Ovis aries: one gene and its partners. The protein of the gene in region 3 binds, or shares a complex with, the protein of the main gene of each other region. Links are inferred from orthologs where the notes say so. Each region holds a gene or a part of one and is shown on either strand. Other genes may lie near its edges.

Evidence for each region.
Region 1: the proteins of MYO5A (region 3) and MLPH are in contact, whole or in part, in a crystal structure (PDB 4KP3), measured with the Mus musculus proteins. The link is inferred for Ovis aries from reciprocal best matches to the Homo sapiens genes MYO5A and MLPH. Residues at the interface, in NP_034994.2 of Mus musculus: Asp1524, Val1527, Arg1528, Leu1531, Thr1532, Ile1535, Asn1536, Lys1539, Ser1570, Gly1571, Leu1588, Thr1589, Asn1590, Phe1591, Asp1592, Leu1593, Ala1594, Glu1595, Tyr1596, Val1599; in NP_443748.2 of Mus musculus: Lys184, Lys186, Arg187, Leu188, Leu189, Ser190, Phe191, Arg192, Asp195, Phe196, Glu197.
Region 2: the proteins of MYO5A (region 3) and SPIRE2 are in contact, whole or in part, in a crystal structure (PDB 5JCY), measured with the Homo sapiens proteins. The link is inferred for Ovis aries from reciprocal best matches to the Homo sapiens genes MYO5A and SPIRE2. Residues at the interface, in NP_001369276.1 of Homo sapiens: Asp1551, Val1554, Arg1555, Thr1559, Ile1562, Asn1563, Lys1566, Ser1597, Gly1598, Leu1615, Thr1616, Asn1617, Phe1618, Asp1619, Leu1620, Ala1621, Glu1622, Tyr1623, Val1626, Asp1629, Leu1630, Gln1633; in NP_115827.1 of Homo sapiens: Arg404, Pro405, Arg406, Val407, Leu408, Leu409, Lys410, Ala411, Pro412, Thr413, Leu414, Met417, Glu418, Met420.

Annotation. Positions count from the first base shown.
Region 1 is NC_056054.1:3,661,258-3,664,875, forward strand, and holds part of MLPH (melanophilin), read right to left. Parts: intron 2,907-3,618; coding exon 2,787-2,906; intron 1,929-2,786; coding exon of another isoform or gene 1,851-1,928; coding exon 1,646-1,850; intron 1-1,645. UniProt on the Homo sapiens protein: Rab effector protein involved in melanosome transport. Serves as link between melanosome-bound RAB27A and the motor protein MYO5A.
Region 2 is NC_056067.1:14,211,598-14,215,215, reverse strand, and holds part of SPIRE2 (protein spire homolog 2), read right to left. Parts: intron 1,832-3,618; coding exon 1,751-1,831; intron 1,651-1,750; coding exon 1,486-1,650; intron 994-1,485; coding exon 907-993; intron 796-906; coding exon 663-795; intron 580-662; coding exon 410-579; intron 1-409. UniProt on the Homo sapiens protein: Acts as an actin nucleation factor, remains associated with the slow-growing pointed end of the new filament.
Region 3 is NC_056060.1:55,984,172-55,988,415, reverse strand, and holds the start of MYO5A (unconventional myosin-Va), read right to left. Parts: upstream 2,871-4,244; 5' UTR 2,795-2,870; coding exon 2,768-2,794; intron 1-2,767. UniProt on the Homo sapiens protein: Processive actin-based motor that can move in large steps approximating the 36-nm pseudo-repeat of the actin filament. Can hydrolyze ATP in the presence of actin, which is essential for its function as a motor protein. Involved in melanosome transport.

The DNA of each region.
Region 1 (3,618 bases), on a different chromosome or scaffold from region 3:
CACCAGAAAGTACCTTCCAAGCTCCAAGTTGGCCTGGGGCACACCATACACAGCCATGCTGGGACAGGGAAGGGGTGAGCTTGTGTGGGAGGACACACAGGAGCCCATGTCCCGGGAGTCAGCGTCCACAAGCTGCTCTTGTGCCTGACCCACTGCGGGGCTCTGCCGACACCCTGCACGGCCTGGGGGCGGGGCTCTGAGCTCGGATGAGGCTCTGGCCCTGCCGACCCTGTGGTTGCAGCCCAGGAGACCTGTGCTGAGGACCTGGGGAAGCCGTGCCGGACACCTGGCCTCTGTGGGCTTGTCAACGCATGTAGCTTTAAGCCAGTCCGTTTGTGATAAGTTGTTACTCGGCAGTAGCTAACAGATACAACAATCCCATTTAAAGTCCCCAACACTGTGGTGAGTTAGGCACTGGCCCTGGTTTACAATGAGGGCACCGAGGCCTGGTGGTTAAGAGGCTTGATCAGGCACACACTGTACTCCTTTAAAGCTCAGACCCTGTGACTTGTCTGATACATTTATTGAGGCAGCACTACCGATCAGTCTCCCATACTTGCTGTAAGATGCTCCCGATTTAAGAGGCGAGGTGACAGTCTTAGAGTCCATGAGATAGGGTGGCGAGTTGGCCAGCAGAGCTGGGCTTGGTACTCAGAGCTGCCGGTTCCCCCAGGCACCTGCCCCAGCTCCACAGAGTCTGTCTTCCCCTCCCCTCCCGCTGCCCCCGCCATCCGCGTGCTGGGGGTGATGAGGGATCCCGGGAGGAAATGTGCTGATCTACGTCTTCATCCAAAGACTCAGTCAATGTAGATTCACTTATCCATTGTTTGTGGGGCAATAAAAGTCCCCTCCCCACCCCCCAAATGCCTCCAGCATCTTAATGGGCGTGTGGATCATGAGATTAGAGTCCCTATAATACAATGAAAAGGGAAAATGGAAAGAAGACCCATTTCCTGGCAGACACTGTCTAACTACATTTCCCTGGGAGCTGGCCCCCACTGCGGTCAGGTCAGGCGGGAGCACACTGTGGCGGGCAGCCTGTGCTGTCTGTGGTCTCATCGGCTTCTACATCACTCGGACACCTGACCCCCTGGACCCTGGTGCCCGCTCCCACAGGGCACAGAGACAGAGAGCGATTCGAGATTTCATCTCAAAGCCACTGACAACAAAATCAAACTGAGCGAACCCAGGGCCTCAGCACTAGCAGACCTCCCGAGTCACAGCTGGCAGGCAGGTGGCCCAGACGGACCTGCACCCTATTTCGGTCCCAGGTTTGGAACTGCCTGGTCTTTCGGTCAGGAAGGTTGGTCCAGGTGGCCGGTGACCCTAGTCATTTCAGGGACACCTGTGTGTCTCTATCCCACTCCCACTCGACGTCCCCTGTCATAGGCGGCAGTGAGCTGTGTGGCCAGCCAGGGGGTTGAGCTGGTACCTCTGAGGGTTACGGGGAGGCATCCCACCCCGGGGAGCTCCGGTGACAATGGCATCTGCCAGGACCGCGCATGCTGGACAATCCCAGGAAGGAAGGGGCTCCTGGCAATCGGCCAGTGTCCCGGCACGGATCGGGATTGGGAGGGGGGCCAGGTTCCAGAGACCCCTCCTCTACACCGAGCCTGTGTGGAAGACCACGGTCAAGCGCACTTACTGGGAGTGGCGGCGACCCCGGGGCCTGCAGTGCAGGACTCTCCCGGCAGGCAGAGCTCCGAGAGCTCGTCTAGTCCGGCAGGCGAGAGGCCGACCCTCTGCTCTTCTGGACGGGGGTGGCACCCGGGGGCCCTGGCATCAGCCTGGTCCAGGATCCCAGCCTCCTGGGGGGTGGTCTCCTCTGCGCAGGGGTCATCTGTGAGGGCCTGAGCACATGGGAACGGTTGGCAGGTTTCACTAGGAACAGGCAGCTCCTTGGAATGTGGGTCTTTCCTGTCCAAGGACTGAGAGTTTTTAGGCATCATTTGACCGACCAAACACAAGTCACCCCTCCCCTCCACCCCAGCAATTCAACTCCCTTTCATTTCAAAGGGCTCTGGACTTGCCACCAGAGCAGGACCGTGGACCAAAGACCTGATGGGTGCCGGCTCCCAGCTCTCTGCCCTGTTGGGCCCTGCACCCAGGGGTCTGTAGATCGCCCCGGGTGGACCCTGTCCTGGGCTGGCACCACCCGCGCCAGGGCGCTGAGACGTCAGGGCTCCAGCTGGGGCGCCGTCACTCTGGGGCTGGAGTGCGCCAGCCTGTCTCCAGTCCCTCATGGAAGGGATCCCATGAGGCAGAGATCACCCCTTTTCCACGTGAGGTGGGAGGCGAGGAGCCTCACACAGGTCGCCCAGACCAAGGGCACAGAGCCAAGGAGCTGAGGGACCACACAGCCAGGCTCTCCCCGGCAGCCCTGTGGGGGCCCTGTGTCCTGGTGCGATTACCAACAGCCCCTTCCACCACAAGACCGTCCTAGCTTGGGCAATAAGGTGCAGGAGCCCTGCGGATCAGACCAGGGGTGTGGGACTCGGGGACCGTCTGACTCCTCTACCCTGCGCTCCTGCGTCACGGGGAGTCTGCCTTCATTAGACAACCCAGGCCCCCGACTCATCGGCCCTGCACCCCTCTTCTCAAAGCAGCACACCCAGGCTCTCCAGGACAGGAGGGTGTGAGGCTTCTGTACCCCGACTCCAGTTGCCTCCCCCCTCTGCTGCTATGCCCACAGGGCCATCAGACTGTCGCCCAGAATGCTGTCCTTTCCTGGGGCCCAAAAACCTGTCCCCCAGGTTAACTCAGGGGTGAAAAGAGAGTCCACTGACCTGCAGGCCGTCCGTGGCCCCTGAGACCGAGGACAGGCTTGGCGGGTGACCACAGGACGGATCGGAGTCGTCGGAGTCGGCCTCAAAGTCCCAGCCGTGGATGGGGAGGAGGCGCTTTTTCTGAGCAGGAAGAGATTCCAGGGAGAGGGGAGGGAGGGTCAGCCTGATTGGGGGGGGGGGCAGCCTTCCCGACCCCAGGCAGCAGGGGGTTGTGGGAGAGGGTGCTTCCACGGGCCCATCTGCCTTCTGTGCTAGACACGAACTCGAGCAGACCCTGAGGAGGCTCTGAGGGCCGCCCAGAGCCCACCCCCATCACAGGACCTGCACCCCCAGCCCCTCTTAGAAGAGCAGGGGCAAATACCCGCTGGGCCTCCGACGGGCACCTGGCTGCTCAGAGGTGCTGAGGTCACAGGCCCGGGCTGCAGCCTCGGGGGGCAGGCGGGGTTTCTCAGGCTAAGGGGGCCCTCCCGCCTCTCCCCCCTTGGTGAAGGAGGGGCGCCCAGCACGGGGAGGAGGTAGGGAAGGGGCCCCCAAGAGCTCCTTCACCTCTAGATTCTAGAGCAGAGCTGAGTTCCAAATCCTTCCTTCATAATGGTTTCTACCCTTCGAATGTATTTGCAGGGAATATTTCAGACACTAGAGAGTGTTTCGGGAGCCCAGTAAATAAACAGCACAAGTACAGTGTTATTTTCGTAAGAAGATGCATGTGCTCCCCAGGGAGCAGCTGGCAGAACTGCCAGTGTGGCTCTCAGAGACCCCCTGACTCTCCAAGGGTCTCCATCCAGCACCGCCCACCCTGCCCCACCCCTCCCCCATCCTCTTCTGTCGCCCG
Region 2 (3,618 bases), on a different chromosome or scaffold from region 3:
GGACCTGTAGGCTTTGCACCTCCAAGTGTGGCTGCCCAGCCCAGGAGGACGTGGCTCTCCATTTCATCCTTTTATGTGCTGAGGCAACAGAGGCTCAAGGCCACTGTCTCAGTCACCCTTGTGAGTGACCACGGTGGGAGAGGGTGCCTAAGCCCCGCCAGGCTTGTCCCCAGGGCAGACCCAGCCCCACAGCAGGACACAGCTTCACAGCAGGGTGCAGACAGGACCCCGAGCAGAGGGCCCACAGCTGGATGCTGCACCCTGGCTGTCTTCTGTTCTCTAGAACCTCCTTCTCTCCCCTACTTCTCCTCCCCTCTTCCTTCCCTCCCCTCCTCATCCCTCCTCCCCTCCCCCCCTGCCCCACTTCCTCCTCATGTCAGTCTCTCTTCAGGAACCTGTGGGCTCTGACCTCAGAAGTGTTCATCTCTTCCATCTCAGCCAACGTAGGGGCCTTGAGCAGGACCCGGGGCCTCGGGCGCTGGGCGCTGCTCCCAACATCCGTGACGGACAGGTTGATGCAGGAAGTGGACTTGACGTCCCCAGAGCAGGCGTTGAGGATGCAGGGCAGAGAGCCGAACCCTGGGGGAGGCAGGAGGTGAGGCAGGATGGACAGGACAGTGCGGGGGAGGACAAGGTGCAGGGGAGGGGTGTCCCATGCTCACCCCGCTCGCCCCGGCCGTCCCAGCGCCTGCTCTCCACAGGGCGTAGCCTGCGTTCCTGCTTGATCTCCTCCAGGATCTTCTCGTGCAGAGTTCTCTGCTTCTGAGGTAAGGGGCGAAGCCTTCTCTCTGAGACCTGCAGGGGGTTTAGCAGCACCAGGTGGGGGGCCAGCTCCCTGGAGGCCCTGCGTGCTCTGGCAGGCAGCGTCCCAGAACCAAGCTTCGGGATGCCCCGCGGGGCTGGTACCTGCTTCAGTGGAGGCCGGGAGCGGATGAAGTCCAGGATGAGTTCATGGGCATCTTTCTTCACTCTGGGAGGGATGTCCCCGTCAACCTGTGGGAGAGAAGGAGGGCAGCAAGGCTAAGGGGCCATCTGCTTGGGCCGCAGCCATAACGGGTTCACCCAGCCTCCCCCTCAGTGGTTGTGTGGCTGTGGCCTTCAAGACCTGACCACCAGCTTTCCCTGCATCTCAGATTTTGTATGTTGAAACGCGGGTCAGTGGCTTTACCTCACAGGGTCTTCGTAAGAGTGAGATTAACTCACATGTTTAGATTCTCAGAGCAACGCTGGCACACCACGAGGCCCTGTGAGAGTTAAGTGGGACAATCCCACAGCCTCAGCTCCCGCCCCTGGTCCCCTTCTCCCTGCCAATGTCACACTATGTCCCTGAAAGGACCATGAGGTATATGACTCGAGGCCACATTGCCCATTCCCACTGGACTCCCTGGTTCAGTGACCAGCGCACCAAGCAGGGGCTCCGGCAGGCAGAGGGGCCTGAACATGTGACCTCTTTAACCTGGCCCACTATGACCTTGAGTGGCTCACCATGACCTTGCGCAGTTTGTAGTTCCTGGCACGGATGTCCTGCATGAGCATCTCGAAGGGGGTGAGCTGGAACTCTGTGGGCAGGGGGTTGAACTCCTGCTCCTGCACCTTCTTCAGCTTCACCCCATGGCGAAGCTCCCGCATGAGCTGGACCCAGAGTCGGGCCTAGGCCCACGAGAAGAAGGAAATGGCCGTTAGCCCTGGGCGGGGCTCCAGGCCTGTGCCCCCTCTGTGCCCTGGTGGGGGTGGGGGGCATGTGTCTTACCCAGTCTGTGCGCCTCAGGCTGTCCAGCTCCATAAGGGGCTTCTCTGCCTGCGGTTCATCCTCCCGGAGCCTCTGCAGCATCTGTTTAAGTCCGGGAGAAATGGGAGAACGGGATTAGTGGGGCTGTGCGCCCTGCTGGTCTGCCCCCTGGGGACGCTTCTGCACCACGTGGGCATTTTGGACAAGGCTTTGGGGCACAGAAAGGTATCCGAGGGAACCAAGCCATCAGCCTTAGAACCACATGGAAACACTCATGTCCTGCTGGCTATTGGTGGCCGCTCCTCCCGTGCAAGGGCCGGGGGAAGCATGACCCTTGCAGCAACCCCTGGCTGCAGCAGAACCCATGGCCTCCTCACACTGACCCACACTCCTCCACGGGGGCCCCATCCTCCACAATGCAGGCGTGAGGCCCTCCCGCATCTGGGAAGGGCTCCAGACTGCCGCTCACAGGGCACACCCACCCTCGTGGAACAGCACGGCCTCTTCTGTGCATGTCATCCCATCTGGAGCCTACAGTCATCTGCTCCTTTGATTGTTTTCTGAATGGTTGGCTCGATGAGGTCAGAACCATGTTTTCAGCTTTGGGGCTGTTTTAAATCTGGCTCCCAGTATTGTGTGACACATGCTAGGTCTTAAGCATTGGTTGAGTGAATAAATGAATCAGTAAGTGGATAGTTGGATGGGTGGACGGATGGGCAAGAGGGCAAGTCACTCAGCAGACCCCAATGTCATAGAGATGTATTTCACAAACTGGGAAAAACGCCACCAGCAAGGTGAGGGCCCAGGAAGGATGTTGGGAATGCTCAGGAAGCTGTTTTCTGCTGAGAATTTGTGAAGAGGCTGCTAAGTTCATTGCCCTGGATCTTAGCAGCAGCGGGGGCTCTGCTCTCACTGGCCCTCCATGCTGGAGGAGCACCTGCCTTTAGCACACAGCCTCTGCCACCCCATCCCCCAGGTCAAACAGAACCGGTCACCCCAGCTTCCCTCCCAAGCCACTTGCCAAACTGCCCTGGGATGCTCTAGAAAACTCAGCCAAGTCTCTGAGAAGCACAAGGTGTGTGGTTCTAAAAATAGAGCTGGGTGTGACCTGCGTCTCTGTGGACAAAGGGCATGAAGGTGGGTCTCCTGTCCTTTCTGGAGCAGCTCTACTGCCCCTGAGCAGGCTGTTTCTGCTCTCAATGCCAGCCCAGTCACACACTGCCAGTAGCCCACTTCTCACTGCCTCCTCCAGTCCTGACTTCTCCTGGGTCAACTGCTTGAAGTCTAGAGCTGTTTACACTTAAAGAAAGAGCTTTTATTGCCTGGCCAAGGAACTGACCTCAGCAACAGCCAGGCAACTGAAAATCATTAGGATCCTTAGTGCCACACAGGAGTGCGAGGAGACAAGCAAAAGACCCCAAAGAAGAAAAAACAAGCCCAAGAGGCTCTTCGGGAGAATGGAATGGAAGACCCATCTGTCTCCTTCTCAAACTCAAGGAAAAGAAATGCTTTCCAAGGAGGAGCCAGTTAGTGGTGACCTTGAAGAGACAGCTGGCTGTGGAGTTCCTCCCCAGAGGAAGAAATCTTTCCCCAAAAAGGAACCACACAGTCACCCTGAAAAGTCAGGAAACAGGAGGGTCCTCAAGAAAAAGAGGAACTTGTCTTCCAGGGAGGATCCACTCGGCAGTGGACCTGAAGAGGCTGCTATAGCAAGAGCAGTGGCTCCAAGAAGACAATGCTCTGAAGGGCGTCTCAGGAAAACCAGAATGGACATCTCCCTAGTGGGGCATGAGTTTCAGACATAGTCCCCACTCATCCTCTAGAGTCCAATCAAAACAAAAGGAAAAGCAGACAAGCATTAGGGGCAGCCACAATTAAAGCACTGGCAG
Region 3 (4,244 bases):
AGCTGTTATTTTAACCAACAGCAAACATGTTTTAATCAAAATGTTAGTTTCCAGAAATGTTGTATCCTAGGAACCAGGCTATTGCCTTGAAAATGTTTATACAGCTTGAAAAATTTACAAAGAGGAAGCCCTGCTAAATTGCTGTGACAAAACTATTATCAATGTAGCTAAAAAGAATAAACTGAATGATCTTGTGTCTTTCACTGTAATAGGAGCTGATTTGTATCACACATCTAAATCTGCCTTTAAGCTCTGAATGACATTTTTTAAAGGGCACTTTACAAATTTAACTGCTTTATGTTGAATATCCTAATTATGGCATGCCACTATTACGTCTTTCTTTGTAGACTACCCCAGAACTTCCTTCCCTATAATTCTCTGCAAGGGAAAAATTCTTGTGTTTATCCACTGATATTACTTCTAATGATTTCCCTCTTCCTCTAATAATCACTACCCAAGCCTCTATCTCTAGAATCATTCCAACCTTCTTATGTCCCAACCTGTTCCCTAACTTCTACAAATAAATATCATACCAGCTGTCTGCCTGCTGCTGAGGCAACAGCAGGTTATTTATGCCCTTGGAGATTCAAATTGGGCCAAAAATAAAAGAAGCAGGCTGTGAGTCCTTTGAGGAAAAGGACTGTGTCTTGTTCATGTGAGAACTCCTGAACATTCCGCAGGGTACCTGGCATTCAGGAGGAGCTCAATAAATAGTTCTGCCTGCCATTAAGCTAAGGTCCACTCACAAAAAGAATAAGCCAACAAGCCAAGTGACCAGATTATTCTTAGATACAAATGTATTTAGGAGAAGACAATTAAGCTCAACTTCCTTATTGATGCCTAAACCAGTTTGTCTTTACAATGACTAGAGGGTGAATTTTAAAACAGATTGTGATGAGGCTACTATGAAAGCCCCAAAACTTACAATTTTAAAAATCCCAGGATCTTAAAAATTTGTTTTCTTGCCAATCATTTGGGGGTGTGTGTATGGGGGCTGGGGGTGGGAATACAGATCCAAAATCCAAGAGAAACGTATTATCCAACCAGTCTTGTTAAGCAGGCTACAAATAGGCAGGCAGCTGAAGGATGGACTGCTCAGGCAGTGAAGAATGGGGTCTATACAAAGTAATTGAAGAATATTTATAGACCCTATCCCTTCTTGTGAAAATGACTGATATTTCTTAGCACTTACCTCTAAGAAATGAGCTAATATGTATAAAGCACTTAAAACAGTACCTGGAACATAGTTAGCTCTATGTAAGTGTTGCTTAATGAAGTAAATACAGATCAATTTCCAATCGCATTCAATCATATGTTAGAATCCACAATGCCTTAAGAATGACCAGGTTTAGAGAGAAGTTTCAATTGTGTAGTTTTCAAATCTGCAGCTGGAAACAAAGAGATCCCAAGAAATGTTTCTTGCAAACTCATTTCATGCTTGAAGAAATATACCTTATACTTGTAAAGAAATTCACAGGTTACAAAAGCAATCCCATCTATTATTAAGTTTGATACTCACAACAGCCTTGTGAGAGGCAGGGCAGGTAAAATTAACTCCATTTACAGATGTGTAAACTAAAGTACAGAGAGATTAAGTGATTTGCCCGAGGTCACACAGTAAGTGAAAAGGCCCAGACTAGAAGAATCAAGGTCTCTGGTGGGGGGGCGGGGGGGGGGGTGTGTGTGGTGGTGTCCAGACCTCTTCCTTCTATAACATGCTGCAACTTGGACTTTCTTGGGTCATATTTGGAAGCGATGATTCTGGGACCATAAATGTAGACTTGAAATGCAAGACACAAATGCAAACTTGAGTAGTTAAGGCAATTCTGTTAACTGGCATTAGAGGTAATTAATAGCTGGCAAAACACTGATCTACACAGGAGTGGTAGTATAAAATGCCATGACTACACACAGTCACAAAGGGCACCACACACTGTCTTGACGGGTAAGTTCTCCAAAATATGCCATTCAGAGATCAGCAGCACCAGAGAATATTGGCGTCAGTATAAGAAAGGAAAAGCTGCCACTTCCCTTGAACTAAACCCAGAAGGAGAAGGCTCGCCCCAGCGGCTGGTGAAGACATGGAGCCTAACAAGGCTCTGAGGGATTACACGCAGATTGCAAATTCCCAGCGACAAATGAGTATCCACCATCCCAGTGAAATCAGCTTGCATTTATTCGTATCTTCCCAGGGGCTCTCCACCCCAGGGTAAGCAATCTGAAACCGGGCAACTAAAGGTGAAAATCGACGCGACCGTTTGCAGGATTCCAAATCTCACAGAAAGGTTGGCTGGCGGTTCAAGTGGCACCGCATACCAACACAAGACGTTATTTTAAGCGCGTGTCCCTAAGGGAGAGACCGACCAGATCTAGCATCTACCAGATCTAGCATCTCCCACCAGCCAGGATTTTTCCTAAAGCAAGACTGAGAGCTGAGCAATCCTGACCCAGGCCCGCCCTACTAAATCCACAGGGGCCCTCTTTCCACTTAGAGACCCGCGCTGCTCCAGGCCCAGAAGCGTGGCAGGGACCAGAGAGGCACCCCGAGGCAGGCTGCCCCCGCCGCCTTAACCATCAACGCCCGAAAGAGGAAGGCGCCCCTGCAGCTGACCCACGGGCAGGGACCGGGATTTTGAAAGGCTCGGAAAGGGGATGGTGCAGGCGGGGCCGCACGGGGCCCCCCGCCCCGGCCCCTCCCTGGCCTGACAGCCGACGGCGGCGGGTGGCGGGGCCCCCTCCCCACTGCGCGGCTCGCGGGGCGCCTTACCTTTGTGTAGAGCTCGGACGCGGCCATGGCGCGACCCGCGGCGCCGACGCCCCCCGCTGTGCGGAGGCCGCACCTCTCCTGGGCGGCCGCCCGCGCCGACTAGGAAGCGCCCCGGCAGCCGCTGGCGGGGAGGAGGGCAGGGCCGCGCGGGGCGGGCCGCGCGGGGCGGGGCGGGGTGGGGCGGGGCGGGGCGCCTCAGCAGCTGGCGGCCTGCGGGGGGCTCGCCATCACGCCCGGGCTCGCCGCGAGCAGTGGCGCGCGCGCGGCGCGCCCGGGGTCCTCCGGGTCGCCGCCACAGCCACCCAGGCGGCCAGTGATGCTGCCGCCGCCGCCTCCCTGTGCATTATGGGAACGGGAGGAGGCTGCGCTCCGGCGCTGCTGCCACCGAGGCGGCTTCGGGTTCTCTCGGGCTCACGCTGCCTCCCAACGGCTGCGGGTCCCAAGCATCATCTGCCTGCCAGCCGGCGTCGCCGCCGCCTCCTCCCGCGCTGCAGAGCCCAGAAGCCCGCCCCAGGACACCCGCTGCTCGCACACCCTTCCCGTGGGCGCGTCGCCTCTTGGATGCCCCCGACCCCAAGCAATCACCGGAAGGTGCAGAATAGCCCAGCCCCCGAGAGGGGAAGCGATAGCTGTGTCACTGAGGGTGGCCAGGTAAATGATTGCGAGTCTGCAGGGTGCTTCTCCTGTGCGTCCCAGAATTTGTAGAGAAAGGAATTTGGGGAGAGGCTTCTTGGAAGGTCACAGAATAACCAAGAATTCCAGAAGAGCTTTGTTAGCCTTAGAGGCCTGGGAGTGAGCAAGAACCGGGAATCCGAGAGAAATAATCACCATGGTCACCCCGACTGCTTCAGCATCTGCCACAGGGTCGTTTCGTGAAACCAAAGCATAGGGGTTTTTTTAGACTGTAAGTGCGCCTGGTACCAAGATGCCGCCATGGGGCAGCCCTGGAACCTCCACTCCTAGGCCTGCGCCTGTATAGCGGTACAATACCCTTTGGTCCCAGCCTCTTTCTCTATCTAGTCGCTGTTATCCTTGCACTTCAAGCACAAGAATGTGATCCTTCCACTCCACCCCCATGCCGTCTTCATCCCCTACCTCTTACCCAGCCACACTTTCATTCCAGCTTGGCTAGTCTCCGTATTTTTCATCCCAACCTTTTTTTAGTGTGGCCATCTTCCCTCAGTTCTTTGAACTCTCAAGTGGTGCCTAGTGTCAGTGCTGGGGCTCTGGGATTTCCATCAAGAGCATCTCTCAAGGCTGGTGCCCTTGGTAGTGGTGTGTATCCTGCATGTGTATTTGAAGGAAGATCACTGTTGGGGGGACACTTGGAGCCAGTCCTCCCCTTACTCACTGTCTGTCCACAGTCTGCTCAGAGCTGCCAGAGGTAATAACTAAAGAGACCTGCAGAATTCTCTGTACCTTCCAGTTCTGAAACCACATCTTTGGATCCCACTCTTTCTTTAAAAAAGAGATAATC